Elephas maximus indicus: one gene and its partners. The protein of the gene in region 4 interacts with the protein of the main gene of each other region in a biochemical or structural test. Links are inferred from orthologs where the notes say so. Each region holds a gene or a part of one and is shown on either strand. Other genes may lie near its edges. The genes, in order: HTRA1, MAGI3, PDZRN3 and RPS6KA1.

The links.
Region 1: the proteins of RPS6KA1 (region 4) and HTRA1 interact in a test that uses a peptide from one of them, tested with the Homo sapiens proteins (2 studies listed by BioGRID and IntAct, with this or other methods). The link is inferred for Elephas maximus indicus from reciprocal best matches to the Homo sapiens genes RPS6KA1 and HTRA1.
Region 2: the proteins of RPS6KA1 (region 4) and MAGI3 interact in a test that uses a peptide from one of them, tested with the Homo sapiens proteins (2 studies listed by BioGRID and IntAct). The link is inferred for Elephas maximus indicus from reciprocal best matches to the Homo sapiens genes RPS6KA1 and MAGI3.
Region 3: the proteins of RPS6KA1 (region 4) and PDZRN3 interact in a test that uses a peptide from one of them, tested with the Homo sapiens proteins (2 studies listed by BioGRID and IntAct, with this or other methods). The link is inferred for Elephas maximus indicus from reciprocal best matches to the Homo sapiens genes RPS6KA1 and PDZRN3.

What each region holds. Positions count from the first base shown.
Region 1 is NC_064834.1:72,799,199-72,806,789, reverse strand, and holds the start of HTRA1 (serine protease HTRA1), read right to left. Parts: upstream 3,011-7,591; 5' UTR 2,941-3,010; coding exon 2,454-2,940; intron 1-2,453. UniProt on the Homo sapiens protein: Serine protease with a variety of targets, including extracellular matrix proteins such as fibronectin. HTRA1-generated fibronectin fragments further induce synovial cells to up-regulate MMP1 and MMP3 production.
Region 2 is NC_064821.1:167,277,062-167,284,666, forward strand, and holds the start of MAGI3 (membrane-associated guanylate kinase, WW and PDZ domain-containing protein 3), read right to left. Parts: upstream 3,014-7,605; 5' UTR 2,881-3,013; coding exon 2,565-2,880; intron 1-2,564.
Region 3 is NC_064838.1:21,232,635-21,240,572, forward strand, and holds the start of PDZRN3 (E3 ubiquitin-protein ligase PDZRN3), read right to left. Parts: upstream 3,008-7,938; 5' UTR 2,880-3,007; coding exon 2,157-2,879; intron 1-2,156. UniProt on the Homo sapiens protein: E3 ubiquitin-protein ligase. Plays an important role in regulating the surface level of MUSK on myotubes. Mediates the ubiquitination of MUSK, promoting its endocytosis and lysosomal degradation. Might contribute to terminal myogenic differentiation.
Region 4 is NC_064821.1:67,007,253-67,014,186, reverse strand, and holds the start of RPS6KA1 (ribosomal protein S6 kinase alpha-1), read right to left. Parts: upstream 3,018-6,934; 5' UTR 2,854-3,017; coding exon 2,719-2,853; intron 1,899-2,718; coding exon 1,782-1,898; intron 1,600-1,781; coding exon 1,518-1,599; intron 368-1,517; coding exon 287-367; intron 112-286; coding exon 32-111; intron 1-31. UniProt on the Homo sapiens protein: Serine/threonine-protein kinase that acts downstream of ERK (MAPK1/ERK2 and MAPK3/ERK1) signaling and mediates mitogenic and stress-induced activation of the transcription factors CREB1, ETV1/ER81 and NR4A1/NUR77, regulates translation through RPS6 and EIF4B phosphorylation, and mediates cellular proliferation, survival, and differentiation by modulating mTOR signaling and repressing pro-apoptotic function of BAD and DAPK1.

The DNA of each region.
Region 1 (7,591 bases), on a different chromosome or scaffold from region 4:
ACTCTTAAAGAAGCAAACCCAGCCTTTCAAACAAGGGCAAGGTGACCACGACCTCTTCAGACAGTGTTTTCTTTTAAGAATCAAACTGTTGCGTCTAGAAGGGACCTCAGAGACCCTTTGGTCAAATCCCCTCAGGTCTGAGACTCCCAGAGGTGAACAGGCCACAGTCACCTGGTCAGGTAACACCCCAGGAAGGGCCAGAGCCAGGTCTCCATCCCAGCTGGCCTCCCAAGAAACCCTCACCCGCTGCCAAGCTTGATTTCTTCTTAATATGAAGCCTGACCAGAGCTATTTGTTCACTTGAAGCATAAGCTCATGGAAAGTCTGATTTCTGAATCCAAGGCACAGAACCACATCCAGGAGACTGGAGCTCCAAACAGATGCCAGATCCAGTCCACTGTGTCGAGGTGTCCAGCACTATGACCACGGTGAGCTCATGGTCCCGCCATAATGCCTCACCGAATGCAGCTATTTTAGGCCCTAATCAACCTATTTACAGCTCTTCTGGAGGTTTCTGGGATGGCCAGTGACCCTCCCCAGCCAAAAATGAAAGACTCTGCCAGCTCTTAAGCTCCTTAAGTGACTGCCTCACTGGCAATAAATTAGGCGGCTCGCGTGGTGCCAGGAACCCTGTGCAGTGGGGGGCATACACAGAACAGCTGCTTTCGTTTTGACAAAATACGCAGGACGCTTTCTCAAAGCCTTCACCTCGTGCCCATATCGCAGCAGCCTTAACTCCCCACCGTGAATTATGTCCCCCCCAAATACGTTGGCATCCTAACCCCTATACCTGTGGATATAATCCTATCGGGAAATAGGGTTTTCTTTGCTGTGTTAATGAGGGCATGTCAGGGTAGGGTGTGTCTTAAGCCTAATCACATTTAAGTGATGTGAGCAGGACAGACAAAGAGACAAGGAAGCACAAACAGGAAAAGAAAGGTGACACGTGGAGATGCGGAGATGCTGGGGAACCAAGGATTGCTACCAGCCGCTGAAATAGACAGAGAACCTCCCCCTAGAACGACACTCTGAATTTGGACGTTTACCCTCCTAAGCTGTGAGAAAATGAATTTCTGTTCTTCAAAGCCATCCGCTTGTGGTATGAGTCGACTCCACGGCAAGGTATCGGGTACTTGTGGTATTTGTTACAGCGGTGCTAGGAAATGCAGACTCTCCTTACCAGGATGGTCTGTCTTCTCCTGCTGGGTTAGTCCCACCACCAGGCTTTCTTTGAGCCGCTGGAACCTAACACAGCACCTTCATTGCTCCCCAGGTTAACCCTCCTCCGCCCCTAAACTAGGCTGAGGCTGGTTCCTTGCTCCCGCGCTGTGACAGAATACACAATCTCCAATTTTTCCCCCGATGGCTCTGGCACCTTGCTCTCCTTGTGAGCGAAAATGCCGCGGGCCTTAGCTGGCCATGCTGGACCACATTCTGGTAAAGAAACTCTGGGCCAGCCCCTCGGCACCGGGCTTCCCTTCCCCCTCCCCGCCCGCCCCGCCCCGCTGCGCCTGCGCTGGGGAGGCCGTGCTGGGCCCGGCGACAGCCCCTGGTTGCCGCCAAGCGCACGGCCAAGCACGGCTGGCCGGTGCCTGTGGACACAGCTGGCCTGGCCGCAGCTGAACTCTGGTTTTTCCACATGGTCTCTCCGCCTGAAGAGAAGAAGTATCTCTCCGGAAGGCCGTGAAAGAATTGGAAGATTTCTCCACGAACCTTCCTCACCCCATCCCCAGCACCTCGCCCGCGAGCCGAGTCCCGTAGATGCAGCGGGACAGAGAAGAACTGCCCCTCTCTCCTCCCAGCTCCCTGCTCTGCCGCGGCAGATTTCCTGATCCAAAGCCCCGTTCAGCTTATCCAAAAAGAGCCACTTTCATTTCTGTCGGGTTGGGTCTAAACAAGCCAAGAAAGACAGGCAGCCAGCAACCGAGATGCCTGGCAGCTACCAAACCAGTCCCCAACATCTAGGAGGACTGGGACGTGGTTCGGGTAACGGAATCTGTTTCTTTCAAAAAAAAAAAAAAAAAAAAGTAGTAGTAAATAAAGTTTTCACCGAGAGGGTCCATAATAAAATTAAAGCATGGTCATTAAAGGATATAGGGGCTAGGGAGACAGAGTTATACGGAAGCGGAGCAACAGAAACGCGTCCTTGTGGTCCTAATGCCTCCGACTTGGTCTTTGCAGGCGCCGTCCCCAGTCGCGAACTTCTCTCCTCCCTTCATGCCCACATTCCTCCGTCTTATTTGTCCCGGGTCCCCGGCGCTATGTGCCTTCTGCGCGCCGGGCACCGGGCCGCGGAACCGGCCCAGGGCTGAGCACAAAGCTCGGTCCGAGGGAGCCCGCGCACCGCTGCCACAAGGGAGCCGCTGCGCGTCTGTCCCGGCAAGTAGGTGCTCAAAGCCCCCGCCAACCCTCGTCGCCCCTTAGCTGGCCCGCCTGTCCCGGCGAAGCGGTACCTTGGCCGCAGGCGCCGCGCTGCAGGACGATGACCGGCGGCTGGCGCTGCCTCTCGGCGCGGTGGCTGGCGGCACGCAGCTGGCACAGGTTGGCATAAGTGCTGCCGTCGCTGCCGCACACCGGGTCGCTGCTGGCGCACACGCAGAGGCCGGCCTGCGCGCGCCGTCGCACGGTGGCCGAGACGGGTACCCCGAAGGGCACCACGCACTGCAGCCCCTCGCCGCACGGACCCTCCTGCGGGCCGCACCCCTCGCCCTCGGCCGCGCCGCACACCTCGCAGCAGCCGCACGCGTCGCGGACACGGCCAGCCTCACAGTACACGGGTGGCGGGGCGCACCGCGCCGACTCGCAGCGCGCGGGGCAGCCGGTGGCCGGGCCCGCGGGTACGGGTGCAGAGCGGCCAAACCGGGGCAGCTGCGCCCGGGCGCACACGGCGAGCAGCAGCAGCAGCAGCGGCGGGAGCAGCGTGGCGCGTGGGGGCTGCATGGCGGCTCCGACGGCGGCGGTAGCTGGGCCGGGCCGGGAGCGGCGCCGGGGAGAACGCAGGAGGCGGTGCCGGGGGCCGGGCCGGGACTGGGGGAGCGGCGCGAGGGTGCTTTGCCGGCAGCCCAGCCTATTGGCCTCGTAGCAGTGACGAGCCGCCTTGGGGATGGGCACGGCGCCCGGGAGGGGGCCGGCCGGATGGCTGGAGCGGGGCCGCCCGCGGCGAGGGCAGGGCGGGCGCGCCCAAGCACCGCCAGTTGGTGGGCGGATCCGTCCCCCCTCCGGCCTCAGTTTCCCAGGTGTTCCCCCTCCCCCCAACATAGTCTCCCTTCTTTGGTACTGACGCTTCAACTCCGGACCAGAACTCTAAAAAGCAGATTGCAAAGGGGAAGCCGAGGTAACGTTCCGCAAATTGTGGAGGTGGGGACCACTGGCCTGGGGTCACGCGCTCCAGAGGAGGAGGGCAAGCGCCTCGCTGGAAGTGACCCTGGTGCCCAGCACGCGGAACCGTGGCCGTGGACCCCGTGCCCCTTTAACAAAAAAGACGGCCCTCGCAGGGCTGGCAAAGGCCAGCACCGAGATGCAAGGTTAAGTGACAAAGCAAAGAGAAACATTTAGAATACTATCATTTGTGTCCGAGGAGTCTTTAAAAAGTTGTTCTGGGTGGGATGCGTGTTTTTACCTGCCCAGAATCTCTCCCGATGGAGACCTGGGAGGCTAGTGGTAACGGGGGTAGGGAGGGATCACAAGGGGCTGCTGGGGAGAAGAGCTTTGTCCTGTTACCGTTTTTCACCACGTGCTGGTATTATCGCAAAATCTTTTTGCTATTAAGTAAGAGATCGCCTTTGAGCTCCCCTTACAGGCTTTGGTGCAACCTTTAAAAAAAAAAAATTTTTTTTTTTTTGGAAACAGATGCCAGTCCTCAAGAGGGGCAGGGGCCAGTCCAGAGGCAGGTCCTTCTGCCCAGGTGGCATCGGGCCCACGACCGGCAGTCTCCTCTTGGCCGGCCCCTAGGAGATGGGCAAAGCCTTTACCCAAGGCCAGGTGGGAGGTGGGTTCACTGCGTGCTGGGCCTTGCAGAGGCGCCCAAAGGCAGTGGGCAGACTGCCGATCCTGGGGCCGGGGCGCCTTAGGGATTTTCCACTTCTCTGTTTTTGGATTGTTTCCTTCTGCATTACTTTCCCAATAGTTTAAAAGATAGAACTCAAATATTTATAGCCCTCCTCAAAGCAACTCCAGAAAGTAAGCCTTGTTAGCCTCCAGGATCCAGAGGGATGCCTGGGACCATGGGGCAGAGACAGCAGGTCACGTGGCCTGGGGCAAGGGAAAGACTATGGGGTACCTAGCTGGCTCCGCAGACTGTGCCTCCTAAAGCTGGGACCTGATCCTTGTGGGAAGTGAGGCCTTGACCCAAAATTCACTCAGCCCCATCCTGAGAGAGCAGACACCTCCCGCTGATCAGAAGTTCTGAGTGTAGTGAGGAGGTAGCTGTGATTAACAAAAAAAAAAAACTTAAAAAAAGGAGGGGATAAGATAATTACTTAACAAAGTAGATCTGCAAACAAAAAGCTTCTCAAACTGTGTAGTCCAGTGGGGAGAGGAAATAAAAGGGGCCTGTAGTGAAACACAGAGGTCCTGGGTGGTGTAACCGAAATTCACCCAGAAGCACCTCAGAAGAAAGGCCTGGCAATCCACTTCTGAAAGATCGTAGCCCCTGAAATTCCTGTGGGTGGAAGTTCTACTCTGAAACACACGGGGCCGCAGGATTCTTCAGTGGGAAATGACTAGACTTGGCAACTGGTTCAGTTAGTTTTTGATAGTGGCGAAAACTTGCTTTTAATTCCCTCATTTTACAGATGAGAAAACTGAGGACCCAAGAGTAGAAGCGACTCCCCAGCAACACATCACAAATTAAGGGCGATGGAGCCAGAACACCTTCTAAAGCTGTCTGCAAGTCTGCCTCGTCCGCTCTGCAGCCACCCGGCCAGACGAGAGTCCGACCCACGTGGGACCACAGCTCACTGTTGCCTCCGGATGGGCCTCCAAGCACCTTCGTGTCAGAGAACAAGTCCCTGAGAGTCCCCACTCCGTCCTCATCACCCCCTGACCCCATTGTCTACCCCATCCCCCATCACCCCCACCCCACACACACACACTTTCACACTTCGCCCCCCTCAGTACGTACGAAACAACTTGCATTTTCTGGAGCATACCTTCCTGTGTAAATTCTCTGCCTGCGGGAACACTAGTCCCTAGAACACACTTTCTCCCCTCCAGGGCTAGGATGGCCTAGTGTAGTAGGCAGGAGCTGTGCTGTCTGGTGGGCTTGGGTTCGAATCCCACTTCTGGCCCCTAACTCTTTGACTCTGGACAAATTGTTTAGGAACCTCCAGACCCCACATCTACCACAGCCTCCACCAGACTGAATCCAGTACAACTAGCTGGTGCCCAGCTACAACCACTGACTCCTCTGACAGGGTTGACAATACAGGGTCCTGGACAGAGCTGGAGAAAAATATACAACAAAATTCTAACTGAAAAAGGAAGACCAGACGTGCTGGCCTGACAGAGGTTGGAGAAACCCCAAAAGCATGGCCCCCGGACACCCTTTAGCTCAGTAATGAAGTCACTCCTGAGGTTCACCCTTCAGCCAAAGATTGGACAGGCGCATAAAACAAAACAAGACTGAAGGGGCACACCAGCCCAGGGGCAAGGACTAGAAGGGAGGAGGGGACAGGAAAGCTGGTGACAGGGAACCCAAGGTTGAGAAGGGAGAGTGTTGACATGTTGTGGGGTAGTTAACTAGTGTCATAAAACAGTATGTGTACTAACTGTTTAATGAAAAACTAGTTTGTTCTGTAAACCTTCATCTAAAATACAATTTAAAAAAAAGAACCTCCAGACCTTCACCAGGAGAACAGTGGAGACTGCACCTCCCAGGTTATAGGAAGACGGGTCTTCAATATGCTCACATCACAGACCATCTCACAGTTGTGAGCGGCTTCACCCATCTGCTCTGCTGAGAACACGGATCACCAAGACGACAAGCCACTCAGTGGAGGGCTCCCAGCAAGCTCCTTGAAGCTGCATTAGAAAAATCAACGTCCTCCTGGAAGGATTATAGGAGCCCTGAACCGCCCTGTGAGAGGGTGCTGTGTGTGTGCTCGCGTGTATACATGCATGTGTACATATGGGAGGAAACAGCAAACCCGTAGACACCTGGAATCGTGGCCCTTTTTGATTTTCCCTTAGTTCTAAAGCCCCTGCATCCAGAAGCAATGCTTTTGATCTGAAAGTTTTGTTCTTCCTCTCGTTTAGATCCCTCCCTCTCTGATGCCATTTATAAAGACGGTTTCTGAAAAGACGTACTTTTTTGATGTTGTTGTGTGCCGTCGAGTCAATTTCGACTCATGGTGACCCTATAGGACAGGGTCCCATAGGATTTTCTGTATGGCTGTCATCTTTAGGGAGCAGATTGCCAGGTCTTTCCCCTGAGGAGCCACTGGGTGGATTCGAACCAGCCACCGTTCAGTCAGCAGCCCAGTGTTTAACTATTGAGCCACCAGTGCTCCTTATTAAATTTTTTTTTTTTTTTATTATAAAAACTAATTTTCCACTGACCAGGGTTTGGCATGAATTCTTCAGGAAGACTTTTCCAGAAAAGGGGCAGGTCTGAAGCCACACAGGCCAATTCCCAGACATCCTTTCAGTGGCCCTAATTTGTAGCGGTTAAGCTTTAATTCTGAACACAGTCAAGCCTATTCATGAACGATGAACAATGAAACACCGTGACTGCCAAAGCCTTACTCAGGAAATGAGGCTTCTAAATTGGAACAGAGCAGCCATGTTTGTGCAACTCAGTAGGGCAAAGACCTCCCATTTGGAGCTGGGCTGCCATTGTTCTCCAAAATGTACAAAAGACTCAACTTGCCCTTCTAGACAGGTGTCCTCCAGGGATAAGAAAACACATGCGGGGCGAAAGAAGGGACTAAAGTGGGGGAGAGGAATCAGGGAAGTTAAGCCCTGTACCTGTTGCTGCCCAATGGATTCTGACTCATAGCAACCCTACAGGACAGAGTAGAACTGCCCCATAGGGCTTCCAAGGCTGTAATCTACAGGAGCAGACTGCCACATCTTTCTCCCATGGAGCAGCTGGTGGGCTTAACCACTGTATCACCTGGGCTCCTTAGAGAAGTTAAGAGGAGGTGACAAGGATCATCATCCCCAGGGAGGGGAGGATTTCATCAGACGTACAGGAACAGGGGAAGCACACAGTTGGGGTATGTACTGCGAGCCCATACATTTGGCTTCAGCAGGAAAGTGGTCCTAAGGGCCGGAGAGACAGTTGGAGGGGAAGAAGCCTGGGCCAGATTGCTAGGGCTCTAACCCACCACCCTCGACTTGATTCTGACTCATAGCAACCCTATAGATGCCTCCTAAAATATTCAGACTCTGCACTGCTGCTGCTGGGAAAGTTCCCTCTGGCTTTTAAGGAGATCCCTTTTGGCAGAATGGCCTTGCTGCAGTATGGATTGAGAAAAATGGACTCAGCAACATGGATTTTTAAATAGACACACTATTATATTTTAGGTTAAGGAGCATTTTGAATTAAATCAAAGATGCAGTTAACGTAGCCTAATAGGATAAGAAGTAA
Region 2 (7,605 bases), about 100 Mb from region 4:
TGCTAGTTTCTAAATGATATGTTACAAATATAGTTTAATAAACAGTCACTAGTCAAGACAAGGGACAGAATGCTAAGTACACTTTATAATACCTTGCTAATTTAAAAATCCATTTATCTCACAAATTTTAGACAAAAGGAAAAAACAATGTGAAGGGCAAGTTCCTTTTTAAATTCTTTTACTCTGTATTTTCAACCTTTTGAAAATTAATCACAACAGTAAAGAATCTTTGTCTTCCCTGGAGATAATACTTACGCTGTTTTTAATCACTCACAAAGTTCTACAAAAAACCTCTTCAAATTCTTAATTTCTAATATTTAAAGTCTTGTGTTTAACCTGCAAAAACCTTGCTATCTTATAATAAATGTTGCTTTTAAGCAAAGCCATTTAAGAAATCCATTTAAATACCTAACATGAGACTATTAAGAAATTAAGACTATGATTTTTTTTAAGCAATTAAAATTTTAAAATTACAACTTGTTTAGAAACACGAGTATTAATTTTGGATGACACAGATGTAGTAGTATCCTTTAGAAATTACTGAAGTGGAATGTATTTTTAAAAAATATATTATTAAAATAAGTATATTTATTATTAATAATTACAAAATGTGCTATACCCATTAATACAAATTATTACTTTTATTTTGACTAAACTTTTAAAATAGGACAGTGTCTTTGGTTGTTAAAAAAGCAAATTTTTTCTACTATAAAAATTTCAACTACATTCTGAGAATAAAATATTTATTCAGCACAGTATTACTGAGCACACTCTAAACCTTTAATCATTTTCCTGAATTTGATATAGAGGTTGAGAAAATGTATAACATGCAGACCAGGCTGATGTTAACAATACATCTTCCCAGTTTTCTAAAAGAATCATAATAATTTGAAAATGCATCAGCTTCCTCATCAACGTATCAACGTTAAGCCTATTTCTGAAAAGAACAGCTATAACCTCATCCATGCCCCAACTAATCAAAACAAAACACAAGGCAATGATGCAGATGTTCTCATTATTCCTTCACTCGTGGGATCTGAACTAAATGGCACCTAGGCTAGTCAATGCTATGTAGATACCACTTTGCATATTACACACAGTGTCTCACTGGCTGAATTATAGCCCCGAAGTCTTTTCATGACCTTTTACATAAGGTTCTATATAAGTCTGAGTTAAGAAAGAATTTTGGAATTCACAAAACTATACAAAAAAGGATGTTTAAAATTTGCCAAAGTTTAAAAACTTAGTAACATTTTAAAAACATAAACCTATGAACTTAAAATGAATATGATAGAGTAGACTACAGTATGAAAATCTTAAGATTGTAGGACCATGTGAGTGTATGTGTAAGTATATCCACAATACACGCACACGTACATTGCACCATAAGCCATCAGTTCTGATTAAGCTCAGGGACTATTAAAGAGATATGTCCAAAGAGAGCTGCTGAAAAAGAAAAAAACGAAACAAAACAACCAACCAAAACAAAAAAAGATAACATACTAAATTCTTCCCTAGGTTTTCCTAGCGTTTTACGGTGAAAGGATGGCCTGATTTCTAATACAAGTCAAAATTCAGCAGCCCATTGTATTTCAATGCACGGTATATTAAGTAGAGCACATTCAGCAAAAATAGTGTGATTTTTAATAACCCTGTAATCATAATTCCCTTCTACAAACATCTTAGATGACAGAAACACATTATACTAATGCTGAAACAACCAACAATGTTGTGGATAACAAAATATGCGAGGACTACTACATACTAACAGATTTCACTGTGTGCAGCCTGATCAACGCTCTGAAACCGTCAAGTATGCCATGAACGTAATGTTCTTTGCAGCAGATTTTACTAGCATAAAAGACACCAGGGAAACATGGGTTCTTTTTTACCCATCCCTTCAACAATATTCTGCAAAATCAAGAGATTTACAAAAGCTTCTACTCAGCTAGGCACCATGGTCTTGTTCAAAACCCAGATTCTATTCAACAGCTCCAAGCAGGAACACACCACTCCGCCACACATCACAGATCGGTACGCAGTCACCTGAGCCACCTGAACTGGTAGAGTTAGGCTGTCAGTTCTGAGATGTTGCTAGTGTGTAAGAAACACCGGAGCGGCTAAGCCCTCCTAGGTACACTAGATGGTTAACCCTGGCACCAAGTGCCTTAATAGTAAGAAGCTTCTCCCCCGTTAGAAGATGCGTAAGACTGTTCCAAAGAAAATGGTACAATCGTGAGGACCTTTTCCACAAAGGAGAGCAGAAAAGAGCTAGCTTTTTCTAGTCAAAAACTCTGCGGTGGGAGACAGAGCTACAAATTTAGGAAACCTAGATTCTGGTCACAATTCTGTGACAGCTTACAGAGCAGCCCTGCCAAGTCAGAGCTCAGTTTCCCTACTGGCAAAAGGGGAATCACCGCCGCCACCCCTCCCCCTCCAAGGAGTCAGGCACACCCTAGAGGTCTAAGATTACCCGGGACGATAAAACTGGGGGAGGTGCCGCCGCTCCCAGGACCCCCACCCTGGCCCCCTGCCCCCCGCGTCAGAAGGCAGGGCCGGTGTACCTGGCTTCACAGTCTTGAGACGGATAGGCTCGCGGAAGTGGCGGATGACAGCCAGGGTATCCCGGTTGGTGAGCCCGCTGACAGGCGTCCCGTTCACCTCCAGCAGCACATCCCCGGGGCTGGGCGCCTTGCCGGAGACGACGAAGCAGGTGCCCCCGCCCGGCTCCTCCCGGAGCCGCCCCAGGTAGGGGAACTCGCCGCGCTCCGCGCCGCCCCGGATCTCTGCGCCCAGGTCGCCCGGGGACCCGGCCCAGGACACCGCGCACTCCTGCACCTTACTGAGCCAGTGCTTCTTCTTCTTCAGGGTCTTCGACATCCCGAACCCCGCTGCACCATGGGGGAGACCCCGCGCGGGCGGCCGGGGCGCCGCTCCGGCCCCTTGTCAGCCTGGGGACCCCAGGCGGCCCGCGCAGCCCGGCGAGGGGGGCCTCGCCGCCCGGCCCCCCGACCGCAGCCCGCTGGGGGCCGGGACGCTCCAAGCCCCGAGGCGCCCCTCCGACGCCTCTCCCGGCTGCGCTCCCCCGGGCTGACCGGGCTCGGCGAGGGCCACCCCGGATTAGGGTGAAGAAAGGAGAAGGGAATTGTCCCCGGGCGGCTCCAGAAGGGGTTTCGGGCGGGGTCACTGCCGACGGCTGGCCCCCGGGCTCCGCGCCCGAGCGGCGGGAAAGGCTGAGGCAAGGGGGCGGGGAGGTGAAGGAGGAAGAGCTGGGACGTGAAAAATCCGTCGGGGACGCGCAGAAGCGCGCGTGGAGCCGTCGCTGGATCGGTCTCGATCGCTGCGGCGCTGGAGAGCGGAGACCAACGCCTGCCCAGGCTGCCAGGAAACTGCCGCTTTCAAACCCGCCGCAACCTCCTCCTCCGCCCTCTCCCCTTCCCCCCGCCCTCGCCCAGCCCTCATCCAGAACCCCGCCCCCTCCCGCCGCGCGGCGCCCGGCGCGCTGCCGTCACAGGCCGAGCGCTTGGGAACGAGCCCCAGCACTCGACTTTCACGTCGGGGATTGGCCCCCGGTGCACAGGGGGCGGGCCCTCACGGAGAACGAGGACCACCGATTGGTCGATGGGAGTGGAGGAGGCGGGTACTAGAATGACTGAAGTTTAGAGAGGGTGGAAAAAAGAAGTTTGGAGAGCGAGGGTGGGCGGGGGACTGGAGTGGACTCCAGGTCGCAGGGCCGGGAGAGGCCCTCCGCACGGTCGCTAGAGCCAAGGGGAAACTCGGATGTGAGGAGCGACCGAACTCCCCGAGGTAGGGGCGTGGCTGGCGAGCCAGGCTGCTTGAGGGCGGAGCCTCGAGCCTGCGCCGGGCGCTGAGAGAAACCCGTTGTATTCTGGTAGGAGGCGACGTGCGGAGTCCGTGCTCCCAGGTGGTGGCACCTCCAGGGTGGTTACCTACGTGATTGTTGTTCATTCAACAAATGTTATTTGTGTGCCATCGATGGCACGGGGTACTGGGTATTGAGACCTGGGCTCCGAAGTCTGGTTGATGGAAAGTAAAATAGAGCCCTGCACCTAACTGCTGTGTGACCTCGGGCAAATTAGGCAACCTCTCTGAGCCGCAGCATTCTTGACTAAAAAATGGAGATAATTATACCTGCCCCTTCAAGTTGCTGCGGAGATTAAATGTGATACATATAAAATATCAGCGTGGTGGCTGGCAGCGGTTAAATGCTTCTTAACATTTGGTAGCTGATAAGAGAATGATGACGGCAATGGCTGTGACTTTGTGTCAGATAGAAATTGTGCTAGATACTGGGGTACCAGAATACCTAAAACAGAGGATCTGCCCTCAAAGACATAACAATATAGTGGGAGAGACTGATAAGTAAGCCGACTGCCTGGAGTGAGGTGGGGGCGAAGGATGGATTAGAAGCTAGCCTGGTAGCCCACTTACCTGGCTGGAGTCATGGCATGCTCCTTGCTTGCTGTTTGACCTTGACCAAATTTCAGCTTCAAGTTTACACATCTGTAAAGGAGCTGAAGGGAGAGCTAATATTGAATAATGAATATCTTAGGTCCCTCCCAGCACTAATTTTTGAGAAACTCCCCTTGACCTTTTTCTCCATCTTGGCTTGACTCAGTCTTTGGGCTCTGTTTGGAATGCCCTTTATCCCATCTCATTTAAAAATCCTTTCCATCCTCACTGCAAATGCTATCTCTTCCACATAGCCGTCTCTGATTTGATCCTCATGTGAAAAGCGTTTTCTTTGAGCTATGATACTTTATTTCACATTGCAGGATGGCACTTATTTAGGTAGACTCCTACCACCTTTTAACAGTAGGGAAAACCCCATTTTTAACTATGAATAACTACACAGAACCTCATCAAATCTCAGATAGACTGGACCAAGCTTCAGCAGCTGCAGTGATTTCATTCACACCATCTTATCAGTCAGGGTCCTGGCAGGAAACAAATGGCACTTTACAAAGATGTGGGCAGGGTGTGGGAAACCACAAGAGAAGCATGGAACGCTGAGGCTACAAGCTCGGAGACCTATAGAGGCAAGAGGAAGAAACAGTTACCAAAACTCAGATACAGAGAGGGCTCCTTGGCATGAGTCCATGACTTTCAGTCAAGGGATGCAGTCAGCCTAAGTAATCACTTATGGAGGAAGCTGGGAGGTTTATATCTCACTCACCTCTCTCCTTCAATCTCCTCCTGCTGGTGCATCCCAATGGCCAAATCCAACCAGAAGCCAGAGGGCAAGGGAGCCCTTTACATAGTCCCCCTCAGTCAGTTTCACAAAGGATACACTGCATCTGGCGGGACAAAGAGGAAATATCCAGCACAGATACAATGTGGATTGTTCAGATTATCCTAATCTGAGACATAGTTGGAATTTTTTTAAATTGTGGTTGGGTTCTGTCCCCCCCCTCCCCCCCCCCACCCAGCTACCACCTACACTAGCAGATTCCTGGATGAAATCTTGATTTTAAAAAATCCATTTCCTTCTGTAATGTTCCTCGGACTTGGGCAGACATGGCTCTAGCAGCATTCTTGTCTGTTTTCTCATTCTTGCCTATTCTGTAATATTTCCGTGGACTCAGGCACGCATGGCTCTAGCAACATGCTTGTCCAATTTCCCACTTTTGCCTTTTTGGATATATGCCGAATAAAACTTTCTTTTTGGTTTACTGGGGGAAAAAAAAAGCTCCGTTGAGTTGATTCCAACTCATAGAGACCCCATAGGACAGAATAGAACTGCCCCACAAGATTTTCAAGGCTGTAAATCTTTACGGAAGCAGATTGTCACATCTTTCTCCCACAGAGTGGCTGGTGGGTTTGAACAAGCTGGCTTTTTGGTTAGCAGCCGAACTCTTAACCACGGAGGCACCAGGGCTCCTTGAAATCTTGATTTAAAAGAATGCAAAAAAACTGTTGCCGTTGAATCGATTCTGACTCATAGCGACCCTGCAGGACAGAGTAGAACTGCCCCATAAGGTTTCCAAGGAGTGGCTGATGGACTTCAACTGCCTACCTTTTGGTTTGCAGTCGTAGCTCTTAACCACTGCACCACCAGATTTTAATAACCTCCACATAATCTATTTTCACTGCAATTCTGGAAAACTTCTTTCCACTGCCTAGATTCTATCATTAGAATGTCATTAGCTACAAGGAACAGAATATCCAACTAAACCAAAAACCAAACCTGCCGTTGAGTCGATTCCGACTCATAGCAACCCTTTAGGGCAGAGTAGAACTGCTCCATAAGGTTTCCAAGGAGCATCTGGCGGATTCAAACTGCTGACCTTTTGGTTAGCAGCCGTAGCACTTAACGGCTACGCCACTAGGGTTTCCAAATATCCAACTAGCAGTAGCTTAAAGCAGAAGGACGTTTATTATGTCTTTAACATGAAGCTCAGATATAGGTTGTCTCAAGGACCTAAGTTCTTTCTGTGTTTGCTCCCTGCCATCTTATGTATGTTGACTTTCTTCACCAGGCTTGTCACCTTTTAGTTGTACCGTGGCTGCCACAGCTCTACACATCACATTCTACGAGGTCATTGTCCAAAGCAGGAAGGGGGGAAAGTGAGTACTGCTCCCATTTTTATGAAGGATAGAAATCTTTCCCAGAACTGCCCCCCAGTAGAATCTTCCTTATTGGCCAGAAAATGATCACATGCCCACTGCAGACCGTCACTGGCAAAAGGAAATGAGATTGCCACAGTTCATTAAATTGATCATGGGTCACCCCCCAAAAAATGGGGGTTCTGTTAGAGAGGAAAAAGGGGGAATGTTGTTGAGTAGTGTCATGGATTGAATTGTGTCATGATTCCCTTGTATGATTGTCTGCCATTTTATCATCTGATGTGATTTCCATGTGTGTTATAAATCCCATCACTATAATGTAATAAGATGGATTAGCAGCAGTTATATTGATGAGGTCTACAAGATTAGTTAGTGTCTTAAGACAATCTCTTTTGAGATATAAAAAAGAGAAACAAGCAGAGAGGCAGGGGGACCTCATACCACCAAGAAAGCAGCGCCGGGAGCAGAGCCTGTCCTTTGGACCTGAGGTTCCTGCGCCAAGATGCTCCCAGACCAAGGGAAGACTGATGATAAGAACCTTCCTCCACAGCTGACAGAGAAAGTCTTCCCCTGAAGCTGGCACCTCGAATTTGGACTTCTAGTCTACTGGTCTGTGAGAAAATAGACTTCTCTTTGTTAAAGCCATCCACTTGTGGTATTTCTGTTATAGCAGCACTAAATGACTAAGACAAGTAGGCACCCAACAGTGCCCCACATGCCTTCACCAAGAATTAAAAGTTATATGGACTCTAAGGCAGAAAACTGCAGTGATTAGGAGCTTGAGCTCTGGAGTCAGAATGCAAATCTCAGTCTATTTACTACCCCTGTAACCTTAGGCAAGTTATTTAACTTCACCTAACCTCAGTTTCCTCATCCACAAAATGGATATGATAATAGCACTTACCTAACTGGATTGTTGTGAGAATTGAATGAAGTTATTTGGGTCAAGCACTTATGTAACATAGGGCCCGATACACAGCGAACACTCAGTAAATTATTATTTTAGTTTGTTCTAAT
Region 3 (7,938 bases), on a different chromosome or scaffold from region 4:
AAAAAGCTTATCCAAACACTCCAGAATGAAAACAGAAAGGCAAGAAAAAATAATAAACCAGCTGAAAACAATGAATGATGTATAAACTCTGGGGGAGTGAATGGCTTATTTATAAATCAGCATTACTTAAAACTACGCAGGAAGTCCAGATGACAGCATAAACAGGGGGAACTTGGGAACTCCTTCACCCCAAACCTGGCGCCTTCTTGAAGCCCCAGCTTTGCCCTCAGTTTTGGTGACTCGCCTACTCACACCCGTCTTTTGAGCGCCTGTGCGGTCCCGGGTGAGCCGCGGAGCTGTAAATATTTGCCCTTCGCCCAGAGCTGGCCAGCTGCTGGGGCTGCAGCTGACAGACAGGCTGGGGGCCAGGAAGGGAGAGAGTCAGAAAACTTGCAGGCCTGGTGTGCACGCATGAGAGGGGGGATGGGAGGGGACAGGGAGAAGCAAAGCAGATGTAGGCCCTGGGGGCTCTTGGACAAATATGTACCCTTCTCAGCCATGCCATCTGGGGCAGGGCAACCAGAGTGGCAGCAGCATGGCCCATGCCCCTCCCCAGTGAGGCAGAAGCACCCAACTGTTGAAAATGTGGCCTCTGCAATCAGGGAAACCAGTGGTTCTCAGCTGGGGTGATTTTTTTCCCCCCAGAGGACACTCGGCAATGTCTAGAGGTATATCTGATTGTCACGATGGGCAGGGGGTGGGGGGGATTGATTGCTACTGGCATCTAGTGGGTAGAGACCAGGGATACTGCTGAACCACCTACAATGCACCAGACAGTCCCCCACAACATAAGCCCAAAATGTCAATAGTGCCAAGGTTAGGCACTCCGAGGTAGACCCTGAATCCTAGCCGTGCTTCAAGGCACTGCTTGAGGTGGACAAGTTATATAACCTTCCTGAGCCTGTTTCCTCATCTTGAAGGAATAAACAGATAATACATGTAAACTGCTTAGTGCAGTTGCTGGCACATAATAAACACTCAGTAAATGGCACTTGTGGTTACACTGGGAGGCAACAATAGTGGTTAAAAGCTTGAGCTGGAGAGACATGCACACGTGAGTTCAAAACCCAGCACTAGCACCTAAAAGCTCTGTGACTGTGGACACACGCTATGTTACTTGATTAAAAAGGGAACGACTAGGAAGTGCCTAGCACAGTGCCTGGAGCAAAGTAAGCACTGGCCAGCGGTGGCTGTTCTAATTATCACCATTTTTTTTTTACCAGGGCAAGGGGATGACTCCAGAGGGTGATGTCAGAAAGGACTGCAGGGCAGCACCTGAGGATTTACTCTCCACTGGGCACACTGCCAGGTCAGGTCCTTTTCAAACCTTCCCTCCTTGAACTCTGACAACCTATTTTACCTTTAGGGAGACTGAAGCACCTGGTGATTAAGTCCCAAAGTCACTCGGCTGGTTAACAGAACGCTCTGAAAACAGTTCTAATGCTAGTAGGCTCATTCTTGATTACTTTACACTGGGTGGCAGGTCCTTTAATTCCTTCTGGAATCCCTGGACGAATACTCCAAAGGGTGCCTGGCTGTGCTGTACCCTGCCCCACGCACGTCTCTACAGACCACAGTTTCCAACTTTAGAGAGATTAATTTAAGCAGCTTGCTCAAGGTCACCCAGCTAGTTGGCAGCAAAGCCCACATCTGAATCCAGCTTTTACTCCAGAGGCCTCTTTTCTGTCATCCTTAGCTCACACCACTATGGCTGTGGGTTCCTACTCTTTCTAGAATCCCTGAGGGTGCATGGATACAGTTTACCCTGTGTGTCACGTCTGCAGGGACCATGGTGTCCAACCTTAACAGAGATTAAGCAACTTCCCCAAGATCAACCAACTGGTCTGAGCAGAAAAATCTTTGAATACAGTTCTGACTCTGGAGCTGCACTCGATTCTTACTCTAAACTTCGTTGTGGATTTTTTCACTCTTCCAGAAACCCTGAAGGTATGCAGCTATACTTCACCGTGTGTCTTGTCTACAAAGACTATGGTTCCAAGCTTAGACAGGTTCAGCGACCTGCTCCTGGTGATAAAGCTGGCAAGACGAGGGAGGCAGGGATGCTCGTGGGATGCTCCTGGCATCCTTGTACCCTAAAGGACCGAGCGGGGCCCTGGGTGCCTAGGAGGGGGTCGGGGCGGGCGGCGAGCGCCTACCTTGCCGCCGGGAGGTGCGGCCACGCAGCGGCTGAGCGAGTCGAGGCGCGCACTGTACTCGGTGAACTTCTTCTGGTAGCGCAACGCCGTCATCTGCAACTCGAGCTGCGCCGCGGCCAGCTGCGCCACTAGCGACTTCTCGCGCTTGCCTGCGCGGAGCGCCTCCTTCTTGAGCGCCTTGTGCAGCGCGCCCAGGCGGGCCTGCAGCGCTCCGTTGTGCGCCCGCAGCGCCCGCGCGCAGCAGTGGCCGCCTGCGCGCTGCTCGCCGTGCGTCAGGGGCAGCCCGCAGCCCTCCTGGCAGCGGCCCACGGGCCGCGCGTCGCACGCCTCGCGCATGTGCGCTTCCACGTCGCGTCGCAGCAGCACCTGGCCGCAGCCCGGGTGGCGGCAGCGTGCGGGCGCGAAGTCGCAGCGCTCGGCGTGCTCGGGCAGCTGCTGCAGCTTGACCACCCGGCCGCAGCCGCGCGCCGCGTGCGCGCACTTGATGTCCAGCTTGAGGATGAGGCGCTTGAGCGGCAGGACGTGGTTGAGTTCCTTGGCCGACAGGCGACCGCGGCAGCGCGCAGGGCAGCTACCCTCCTGCACCACCCAGGGCAACACGCAACCGGCGCAGAAGACGTGGCCGCACGGCGTGGTCAGGGGGTCCTCCAGGACCTTGTGGCACAGCGCGCACTTCAGGTCCGGGTCCACGTCGCCGTCGAAGCGGTCCAGCTCGAAGCCCATGGTGGCGGCCGGGGCCCGGGGTCGCCGCCGGGCGGCCGGCCGCCCCCTCCCTCCCTGCGAGGCGGCCCAGACACGCCGGCTGCGCCGCCCGCTCGCTCGCTCGCTCGCTCTCCCCGGACTGAGCCTAATTGCTCCAGACTTCCTCGGAAAATGCCCGAGGAACAGGACTCCTCCGGCCGTATTTGCGCTAGCGCGAGCGCACACTCATCCTGTCTTGGCGGTCTCCCTCCCGCCCCTGCAAAAGGGAGGAGGCCGGAAGGCAAAGGAGGGTGGGGAGATCTGGAGCCTCGCCAAGGGCGACTGGCCCGCCCAGAACTTCAGCCTGAGCCCTGCTCACCGGGGCTCTTCTCCGACCTTCTGCAGTTTTTGATATAGGAGATAAAATGCCAGCCGAGAAAAGTTTACTGAGGTTGGAGCTGTGGCTGCTGCTTTCGCTCAGAAGAGTTCTCCTGGAGCCCGTGCCGGGATTGATCAAGACTGTTTACTCCCCCTTTCCCCCTTTTTTCTTTGTGACAGATTGCAAAGGGCGAAAACATTCGGGTCCCGCTCTCCTAGCACTTACGGCCGTTATTTATTTATTACCAGGGAAAGTTACCTAGCCTGCGGGACGTTCCTGCTGCAACTCCAGTTCCGATCAGAGGTTCTGCGGGCTCTGGAACAGGCGGGCGGAGGTTTCCAGGGCCCAGGACCATGCTGCGGAGGCGTGAGCTGCCCGGCCGCTGAGGGATGGGAGAGGCGGACGTGCCGGCTCGGTCCACTTCTCCCAGTACCTCGAGTGTCCGCACTGTGTGGCGCGGGCTGTGCTGGGCGCTTTTAAATTGGCCCCTTGAAAAATCATCAATACAATGCTGTGAGAGAGTGTTAGCTCCATTTACCAATTATTTTTCCGCGATTACAAAAGAAATGACGCTGAGTGGTAAAAAGTTAACTGCACAAGTCCCCGCATTATCCCCCACCATCAGGTTACCTGCGTTCCTTCAGTTTTGTTTTGTTTCCTATGTGTATACTTTGTTCTGCTTCCATTTTACCTTTGGAAGCTTAGGCCGGGAGGAGACAAAAATTTGTCTAGGATTCTGTAGAGCAGTGTTTTCTCAAATTTGAATGTCGTTTCAGATTCTGATCCAGGAGGTCTGGGGCGGAGCCTGAGAGCCTGCACGTGTAACAAGCTCCCAGGTGATGCTGGCCTGTTTTCTTCTACGCTGGGGTAGCTTTTCAGGCAGTACCGTGAGCTTGACTGGGTAGTTTTCAGCAATACTCCTGAGTGTAAAAGGAACACTCTTGGGTTTCAAACCTAGGTGGAAAATTCCTAGCATCGTCCATGGATTTGGAGATTTTTCTTTCTCCAAAGGCTCTAGACATTCCTAAGAAATGTGCAGTCAGAGTCTGTGAGAATGAAATGAAGCTATGGAATTCTCATTTGGAATCCACTGGCAGTTTCTGAAGACTGAAGTGGAAAAGTTGCAGCCCAGTGTTTTAGCATGACTCTGGGGGCCTGGAAAGTGGGATTATAACTTCCATTTTGTCTAACTGCTGTTTCTTCTCTCCTTTATGTGGCTGCTAAAACTCTGTGACCGACACTATTTAACTGCTTCATCGGAGTGAAAGGATTGCCTTGATGTCCATAATGATTATTTGTTTCAAACTGACCTTTAAAACGTTGTCATTGACTGGATTTTTTTGGCATGTTGTTGAGTTCACTAGATGACCGTCTTTAATCGGCCTTGGTGGTGTTTGTCTATTTGTAGTAGAGACTTTCTTTTAATATCTTTCATCAATTCATGCATTTCTTTGATAGCACATGGGTGGAGTATCACTGGCCAGTGTTCAGATAAGCATGTGGTAGGAATCTCCCATCAGTGTATTCATTAAGCTGCTCACAGGCTCTCAGATAATGGGTAAGAAAGAAATGCTTTCAACAAGTGTGTGGGCTTGTCAGTTTCACAGGGTGGGCCAGTGTCAACAGGGTGGTAATCTTCAAACCAAACTGGTTTTGAGAAACAGCGAAAGCTCTCAAAAGCTCATACACCATAAACGGGAAATTTGTGCTTACTTTTGGTGTACTCTTGAGAGCGGTCCCACCACCCCTTTGTGGCCCCACAGATGGCTGAACGAGGGGTTGTTGATGAAGGGCTACAGCTGAGGCTGCCGAGAGCTATAGCCTACTGCTGTGCGTTGACCTCTTTCGGCAAAAGGAAAGTCTGTTAAAACCACTCCTCTTTGGCTAATTTTAGTATTGAAATCCCTGGAGCTCAGCAAAAAATAAATAATAAACAGAACACATAACATTCTGGAGCACTGGTGGCACAGTGGTTAAGAGCTATGGTTGCCAACCAAAAAGTCAGCAGTACAAATCCACCAGCTGCTCCTTGGAAACCCCATGGGGCAGTTCTGCTCCGTACTATACAGTATCTATGAGTCAGAATCAACCATGCATATTTTCCAGTCTTTGAATGTTACAGACAGTACAACTAAGGGTCAGAAAGGCTAAGAGAGAGAACAATTTAGGGCAGGGTTTCTCAATCTCAGCACTACAGACATCTGGATCATGGGGGCTGTCCTGTGCATTAGAGGGTATTTAACAGCATCCCTGTTCTCTACCCACTAGATGCCAATAGCACAACCCCACATACCCTGTCATAACAGCCAAAAATATCTCCAGATATTGCCAAGTGTCCCTTAAGGGCAAAATTGACTCCGGTATTGAGAACCACAGTTTTTTTTGTTCATTGCCAAAGTCAGGCAGTCCTAGCGGCCCATGTCCTCTGCTGGCTGGGGAAAGACCAGGTGAACGCAGCATAGTGAGAGCAACCTGGCACTAATGGATGTGAAGAAAAACTGTGGAAGGGGGATGTTTAGTGTGATAGACCTTCCAAGAAAAGGAGCTGATTTCTCCTGACATGGATTAGGAGCTTGGTCACCTCTAGAGCATCTGGGGGTGGTGGTGGTTGTTCGCTGCCATCAGGTTGGCCCCCGACTGGACTCATTGCAACCCCATGCACAAAACACCACCTGGTCCTGTGCCATCCCCGTTATTGGTTGTAGATAGGACCATTATGATCCACAGGGTTTGCACTGGCTGATTTTTGGAAGTAGATTGCCAGGCCTTTCTTCCTAGTCCATCTTAGCCTGGAAGCTCTGCTGAAACCCGTTCAGCATCATAGCAGTATGCAAGCCTCCACTGGGGTGGGGGTGTTTCTATAGGGATGAATTCTTGTCGACAGGCGGATTGGTCACTTTGAAAACTACTCTTGCTGCCTTCCACCACTGCTCCATTTTCCCATCAGATTCTGCAATTTCTAGCCAAGATGTGGTCCCAAGCCCAACAGAAATGTGATTTTTGTATTTCCCACCATCACCCTCTAGTGTTAAACTCTGTTCTTCCGGGCCTTCCCATCAGCATGTTTAATCAGAAGATGCTAATATTAACTACCATCTACTGAGCTCAACTTGGTGCCAAGCAACCTGCTCAGCACTTGATGGGCATTATTAATCCTCACAGCACACCAGGTAGATGTGTTGTTAGCCTCTGTTCACAGATGAAGAAACTGGTTTACAAAAGTTGAACGTAAGTTATCCAAATGGCAGCTGGGAATGTAAACAGGTGGATTCCAGAACCCGCACTCATAACCACTGTTGGCATTATGCTGCCTCCTCTAGAACCCCTTCCTCGGGAGACACTACCTTACAAACAATTCCGTTCATCTCGCCACATCTCCGTCTTTACTTATCTCACTTTTCCCTGCACCAGTCCTCCACTGGCCCTAGAGACCTGATAATTTGTGGGTTCAGAACTAGAAAAAGGAAAAAAGTCAAGGTTGTTTGTTTCTTTGGTGGCTTCCCGAGGCCTAAATAAATGATGCTGAAATGGTATCATTGAATTAGATTAATCAGCATCTTTTACGAACGGGAATTGCTGCCAGAGAGCCATTCGCAAACAAGCGTGAAATATTTCAATCAGATTGTTTGTCTCCTGACAAAGTTAATGCCAAGTCATTCTGGGGGCCTGGGAGATTTGTTTGTCCTTGGGTGGAAGCTGGCAAAGAGAGGTATGTAATTTTCGATCCTGGAGACTTTAAAAGACTTGGTTGAGTAAGTCAGGCTGACCTGTCACAGTCGGGGGCATTGGGTAGAAGAACAGGGTGAGTTGGAAAAATGCTTCTTACACATTTGTGCAAAAGTCTGGTGCTGCACATTGGTGAGACCCCCTTCCCTGTCATCCACATAGGGATTACCTCCACAGCACTTGTACATCCCCTTGGGTAACATTCATCATGTTTGACATATCTTAATTTATTCAATAATTATTTATTTAGTAGCTACTAAATGCTAAGTGGAAGAAAGGCCTAGTGGTCTAAAAAAAAAAAATGGTCTACTTCTGAAAAATCAACTATTGAAAGCTCTGTGGAGCACAGTTCGAGTCTGACACACATGGCGTCTCCATGAGCTGGAATCAACTCGACGGCAACTGATTTGGCTTCTTTAGTTTGCATGCTAAGTAGGTCTACTCTAATGCCAGTGCTGCAGAGGTGAACAAGTTGGTCAGTGTCTCTGCCCTTGTGGAACCCTCTTTATAGGGGAGGAGGAGGCAAATATCAATGAACAAATACGTAACTGAGATATTTATGGAATGGGATTAAGCATACTAAAGCAGCACTACTGAGAGTGTGATCTAGGTTCCAGAAACGTGGACATCACCTGTGAGCTTGTTGGAAATACAAAATCTCAGGCCCCACCCTGGTCCTACTGAGTTAAAATCTGCATTTTAATAAGATCCCTAACTGATTTGCAAGCAACTGAAGTTGGAGAAAGGAGCCCTGGTGGCCACCAGTTCAAACTACCAGCCGCTCTGTGGGAGAAAGATGGGGCAGCTTGCTCCCAGAAAGACTACAGCCTTGGAAACCCTATGGGGCAGCTATGAGTTGGAATCGACCCAAAGACACACAACAACAACAACAAAGATAGAGAAGCACTGTTCTAAAGGACATAAACTGATGCGCTGGAGAGAAAAGAGAGGAGACCACGGCAGTCTGAGGAGGTGAGATGTGAGCGGTTACTTGAA
Region 4 (6,934 bases):
AGGGTCCTCTGGTAGGGGGGTGCTGGCTCACCTCCTTAGAGAGCCGTGTGAAGAGGTCTCCGCCACGCAGGAAGTCCAGAATGAGATAGAGCTTGCCCTCGGTCTGGAAGGCTGGGGAGAGGGGAAGATGCAATGGTAGAGCCAGCTAGGCTCTGGAACCTACTCCCCTGCCTCCTCCCGCTCTCTTGGCCTGCTTGGTGGGAGGTGCCATAAGGTACAGGGAAGGCAGCACCCCAGAGGCAAGGGTGAAGGCTGGTGAGCAGGGCAGGTAGGTCTGTGGTCTCACCGTAGTGCAGCTTCACCACAAATGGGTGGTTGACGTCAGCCAGGATGTCTCTCTCCATCTTGGTCCGGACCCGGTCACGGACTGGCCAGAGGAGAAAGGCCGTCACGCTAGAGCCCTCCCAGTAGTCCAGCCACCCACATAGCCAGCCACTCTCCAAACCCTGGCTAAGAAGGACCCTCTTTTCTACTTGTTCTTCCAGGTCTGAGCTCCCGGAGCTTCCTCCCCAGGGCTTGTGGGCACACTCAATCTTCAGGTTTCTTCCTTTGCTCTTATTCTGTGTCTGGCTCCTTGGTTTGCTTCCTGTCCCTGCCCCTTATGCAAGGTCCAGGGATGGGCCCTTGGCCCCCTGCCCATCTCTCCAGTCTGACGGTCTTTTAGCTTCTCCTGCCCAGCCTAGGAGGCCTTCCCGGGCAGGGACCAAATGTCTTCATCTTTCTCCTTCCCTGTGGCTCCCACCATCCCTCCTGGGGAATGACTCCCATCCCTACCTCAGGTTGGCCCAGAGGCACCAAAGCTACCAACACTCCAGACAGCCCTTCATGGGCCACATGATCCATAACATCTCTAAGGCCTCCTATTGCCCCCACTTCACTTGGTCAGCAGCCACACTGGTTCCCGAACCAATCAAAGAGTCAATGTCCAGCCCAAAGCCCTCCACCAACCACCCGCACACCCCTTGTAAGTCCTCAAAATGCTAGACTTTGGCTCATGCTCCCTCTGAACCCCTGTGCCATCCATCTCCATGGCCCTGCCTCAACCTCACCTTCTCTTGGCCCACCTGGCTCCCTGGGTTCCTGCCTCTTCTCTCATGCCCTTCTCCTCCAATGAGTCCAGAGAGGTCTCCCCAAATTTTACTGACAGTTAGAACACCTCTGCCTAACCATATTAGAGGGCCCCCACCACACCACAAACACATTGCATTTGCCCCACTACCTTCTTCTAGACAACCACCTTCAGCCTTAGCCATTGGCATGTGGCTTCATTAGTGATGGTGGGGATCAGGTGGAGGGTTAACGGCTTGAAGTCTTTTCTTCTAAGTGGACCCTGTCTTCCCCATCAGGTGGGGTGGGATGGCAGGCAGCTGAGAGTAGGCCGGTTTCTCCTCCCTCAGACTAGGTGCTCCTGAGAATAGGGCTACCTCTCCCATCAGACCAAAGGCCCTGAGGACTAGGCTGTCTCCATCAACCCTGTGCCCAGCCTGGGCTCGCATGGGGAGGTGCTCCCCACTCACCTTTCAGTGTTGCCTTCTTCAGTACCTTCATAGCATATAGATGTCCGCTATCAGGTCGGGTGACCTTCCTTACCAGGAAGACCTGGGAAGGCAGTGGGAGAAAAGCCCATCAACCCTTGCCCCTGATCCCTTGAGCACAAAGGTGACCCCTCACCCCAGTGACCCCAGAAGTTACTCTTCTCACTCTGGGCTCTGAGGTGACCCCTCACCTCCCACCTCTGACATGGCCAGTGCTGCCCTCCCAGCTGTGGGCTCAGAACTTACTTTGCCAAAGGATCCCTGGCCCAGAACCTTGAGGAGCTCGAAATGGGATGGGTCAGCCTTCTCAGAGCCAGCCTTGACATGGTGTGTGATGGAGATCTCCTTGAGGATGCCCTCATCCTGGTGGGGAGACAGAGTCGGTGAGCATGGAGGCACCGTCCCCCAAATCCAAGTCCATTCCCAGCAGATTTCACCAGACAGGGCCGCACAGGCCTGACCAGACAGCCACCCTAATACAGTCAGCCTCCAGTTCACCGAACCAAAAAGGGCCTCAAAGGTCAGAGAGGGTCAAACCACCAAGGTGTTCCTGTTTTCTTGCTGCTCTGGCCTGGGATGCCCAGGCATGGGCAGGAGGGAATCCCCCAACCCCAGGCTCTGGCTGAGGCCCGTAGTAGGCCTGCCCCAGGCCCTCCCTGTGGGGCTCCCCTCCCCCTGCTGCAAAGGTTTTTGGTTTTACCACAATAGGAAGTAGGGTTTGTTCTCATAGTGGGGAGGTGGAGTTGAGCCTTTGTTCCTGATCAGGATGGGAAACGGGGGGATCCCTCTGGCAGGTAGGACAGGGCTGAAGTACACAGAGACCTAAGCGTCATCTGGGACTCTACCACCAACCCAGTAAGTGCCAACATGGGGCGGTTGGGAGTTAACGCCAGACTCAATGCCCTCCCTCCCAAACTTCCCTCATACAAGCCTATGAGAAGCCCCTTGCCAGGTCCTGGCTATTCTAGGACCCCTCTTCCCTTCCTCCAACCTACTACCATTGCCCTAGAGCCCTGAAGCGCCTCTTCACTTTCCCAGGAAGCAACTCTGGGCAGGGTTCAGCCATCCAACACAGCCAGGCCTGGGCTAGGACAGTCCAAAGCCAGCTTAGGCCAAACTGGCTGCCTAGGCACCTGCTCCCAGGGCCATAGCTGGGCAGGGCCAGACATCTGGACATACTCACCGAGTCCCGCCGGGGGCCAGAGCCAGGGCCTGAGGCAGGCAGCGAGGTCTGGCTGATCCTGGGCCGCTGCTTCCTGGGCAGCCAGGGGAGCAGGGCCCAAAGCCGCAGACGGGGCGACTTGGGATCCTGCTCCATTCGCCCGGCAGGGCCGTGGCACCATGGCAGGAGCAGGCAGAGTCGGGGCTGCCGCGGAGGTGGCCAGGCTCAAGGCGGATGTGCAGGGTGAGGGCGGGGGCTGGGCCTGGCCCAGGACCGCCAATCATTCAGGGCCTGTGGTTTCCCAGCTCCAGGCCTATACCCTCACCCTGTTCCCTTCCTCTCTCTCTTCTCCCCTCCCCAATGCTTGAGGGCTGCCCTCTGGCCCTCCTCCCACCCTCCCTGTTGGGCCTGTAAAGCGAAAGGCCCAGGCCAACCCATCTGCTGAGGAGTAGATAGGCACCCATCAGGCAGAGGTGAAGATATGCACTCATCAGGAGAGACAGAGACAGGAACTCTACAGCAGAGGCACGTGGAGGCAGATAAAGGGAGATACCCAAGAGACAGGGGCACGCACCCAAGAGGTGGAGAGAGATAAAGACAGGCATTCAACAGGCAGAGATGGACTAGGACATGTACTCAACAGGCAGAGACAGAAGGAGACTCATACTCAGCAGGAGGAGGCAGGAGGAAACACATACCCAACAGGTGGACACAGACAGGGACACGTACCCAAAAGGCACAGACAGAAAGGGGCACATGCAGAGGCAGATGGGGAAATATCCAATAGACAGAGGCAGATGGGGACACATATCCCACAGGTGGAGACAGACAGGAACATGAACCCAAGAAGTGGAGCTGGATGGGGACTCATAACCAACAGGCAGAGGCAGATGAGGACTCGTACCCAACTGGGAAATGGATAGCGACACACACCCAACAGGCAGAGGGGCAGATGGGGACTTGTACCCAACAGATGGAGACAGACAGGGACTTTCACCCAAGAGGCAGAGGCCGATGGGAACTTGTATCTAACAGGCAAGACAGATGTAGACACGTACCCAACAGGCAAAGACAGCTGGGACACATACCCAAGAGGCTGAGAAAGAGGAGTTCCTGTATCCAACAGGCAGAGACAGAAGGTGACACGAGCCCAACAGGAAGAGACAAATGGGAACATGTATCTGATAGGTAAAGACAGACACAGGAACTCAATAGTTGAGGCAGACAGGTAGCAGACAGAGACAGTCAGAGTCAGTTAGGCCCAAGTAGACTGTCAGGCGCCCAGAGCAGATGAATGTGACAGCGAACAGACAGGCAGCAAGGCAGGGATCCCTAGGAAAGGGGGTCAGACCTTTCTGAGGGGCTGGAGGGTAGAATTCTGGGTTCTCGTTGGTTTGTCTAGGGAGGAGGAAGGGTAAGGAGATATAACAGCAAACCCCCACGACTCAGGAGAGTAGCCCAGTATTCATGGCAGACCCAACAATGAGGTTTTCCGTTTCCCTCAGATTTTCTTCCTACGCCAGAGCCTGAGGAGGCCCAGGACTAAGACAGTGGGCTGAGAGACCATCTCCTGATGTCATCTGATGACTTTGACTCTGACCCAAAATATCCCAAAAACCATTATCTCCATTTTGAGAACAAGAAACTGAGGCCCAGAGAAGGACAGTGACTCACCCAGACTCAAAACGAGCCAAGCGGCAGAGTCGGCTTGAACCCAAGTCCCTCCCCTGGTTTCTGCCTGGCCTTTAGTGCCAGGAAAGGGTGGGCAGGTAAGTCAGCCAGAGCCACTTCCTGCCCACCCCAGCCTGCCCCCACCCTCACCATTAGGATCAGCCTGGGGACTTCCCACTCTAGGTCCTGACCCTCAGAGACACAGCCCCATCTTCAGAGGACTCTCCCTGACAGATGGGGGAGTGGGTGTAGCAGCCACTGAAAGCTGCAGGCTAATCGGGCCCCTGAGTATAAACCCCTGGAGGGACAGGCAGAAAGCCTGGCTCAGAGAGAGGCGGGGGTGGGCCAAGAAAACAGCAATGCCTGCTAACCCCACTCTAAGATCTGAGCTTCCACCTCATCTGTCTGCCTCTGACTGAGAACACTCTCTGGGGGCAGAGGCAGCCACCCAGAAACCCCAGGGGACATAGCCACCCCCAAACCCAGTCCTCGCCCAGAGTTGTCGTGACAGACACTGTTGGAGGCAGGCCACCTCTCTGCTCACCTTTCTGGGACAGGGAACTGAGTCTCCCTCAAACCTGGGGAAGTCTGCCGGGGTCTGCATGGTGGGGCTCAAGCTGGTGGCCAGAGGGCCCCGTTACTCCCCTTACTTCTGCTTTTTTAGCCTTACCAGCCCAGAAGGCAGGGTCCATGGCCTCCCTCCTTCTCACTTCCCCCTCTGCTGGGAGGAGGGACAGAAGACGGGTCAGGCTCCCTGCCAAGGTGGGGATAGTGCAGACCCTAAACCCGAAGCCCCAAGGATGACTCGGGGATGCACCTCACTTGTCTCCCCGAAGGGGGAGACAGGATCACAGAAGTCACATAGAGATAACGCCGGGACACAGTAGACATCCCAGCACCCCCAAGAGGGGTCTGAGAGAATGGGAACAGAAATCAGCAAGGCCACAGCCTTGAACTACATAGCTCAGCACTTAGTTGGTCCAACTCCCGAGGACACTCCCTCCCCCATAGCAACCTTCATGGCTAGGCTCACCCGAAACATCAGCCCACAGAGCAAGCACCATACTCAGCCCTGCCCCTGCTCAGAGGCCCCATTCTCCAAGCCCTTCCTGAAGAAGCCTGCCAGTCTAAGACCCTGGGATGGACAATGGGGCAGAAGCCCCTAGACAAGGACCCTGGCTGCCCACTGGACAACTCAACACAGAGGTCTAGGTGGAGGAACAGGTGGCTGTGGGATAGGGGTGGACCAGGCCCTGCCCTTACCACGTGGCTCCACCTCCTCACTCATACCAGTACACCCACAGGAACTGACACGAGCGCGCACAGACACACACTCAGGCTGACGGCTGGAAACCATTTCCACAGACATCCCCTATGTGGAAATCCACACCCCCACGTACACACAGACTTCCCCTTCCCGGCTCTCGCAGGGCCTCCAATAACAACATTCTCTGACAGGTGGCGTCCTGGCGGGGGTTGTGAAAGATGTTCCCCTTAACTGAGGCCTCTCATTGCCACCCAGAGTCCTCAGGCCAGGACTTGGGGGCCAGGGCAGCCCTGAGAGCCTTAGAACGTCTGGTCGGTCCAGCAACAGAGGAGGGGCCAGTGCCAGCTTGGCCTCTCCCCCAGCCCGCCCCCTAGAAGCAGAGGAAGAACTTCTATGGCCAGCACACTACAGGAACGGGCAACAGGAAGGAAACAGTTTCAGAACTGCCTTCACAGAAGGATGTTTGGAGGGGCTGTGCGGCCTCTGGTGATGGGAGGGGGAGGACAGGCACCAGCCCACATCCCCTTGGTCCCGGACCCTTTCTCCCCTCATAGACACTTCCTCTTTATTTACTTCCTCCCACACAGCAGCTGGGAGAGAAGCCCAGAGCCCCCTAGCCTGATCCCTGGCCACCAAGGCCCCCACCCTGGGCCTCCCTCCACCAGCTGCAGCTCAAGCCCACCTGCCTGCCCCTGGCTCTAATGGACACCAACAGCCCCTTCCCTAGCTGGCAGCATCTACATGGCCTCCTAGACATGGGCCCCTCTGGTGGGACAGATGTCCCCAGATACATCTCCCAGCATACTTCTGGGCAGGTGAGGAGGAGTCCCTAGTCCCAGGCCTCCTTGAGTGGGGAGGTGGCCTCAGGCCCTAGGCCAGGACTGGCTTATAGTAACGAGGGGAACTGTACTTTCTATCACTTAAGCGCTTCTCGCATGCAGCCATTCTTTCCTGCAATCTTTGATGATGTGGGTTCTGCGAGGCCCTAGCACTGGAGCTGAGATCCTGGGTCTCAGCTCCCGGGGAGGTATCTGTCATCTCCATTTCAAAGATAAGGACACTAGACTCAGAGACAGTGACTTGCCCAAGTTCACACCGCTAGAAAAGGATAGTGCGAAGAGCAAATTCAAAGTCTGTCTGCTTCCAAAGCCCCCACTTAAGAATTTCGTTGTCACCCTCCCAGCAAGGCCAGCCTGGCCCCTCTCTGCACATCACTCACACTGCTGGCCCCTACTCTGTCCCAGGCCAGAGGTGGACACCAGGAGGCAGAAATGTTAAGGTAGACCCTAGCCTTGTCCT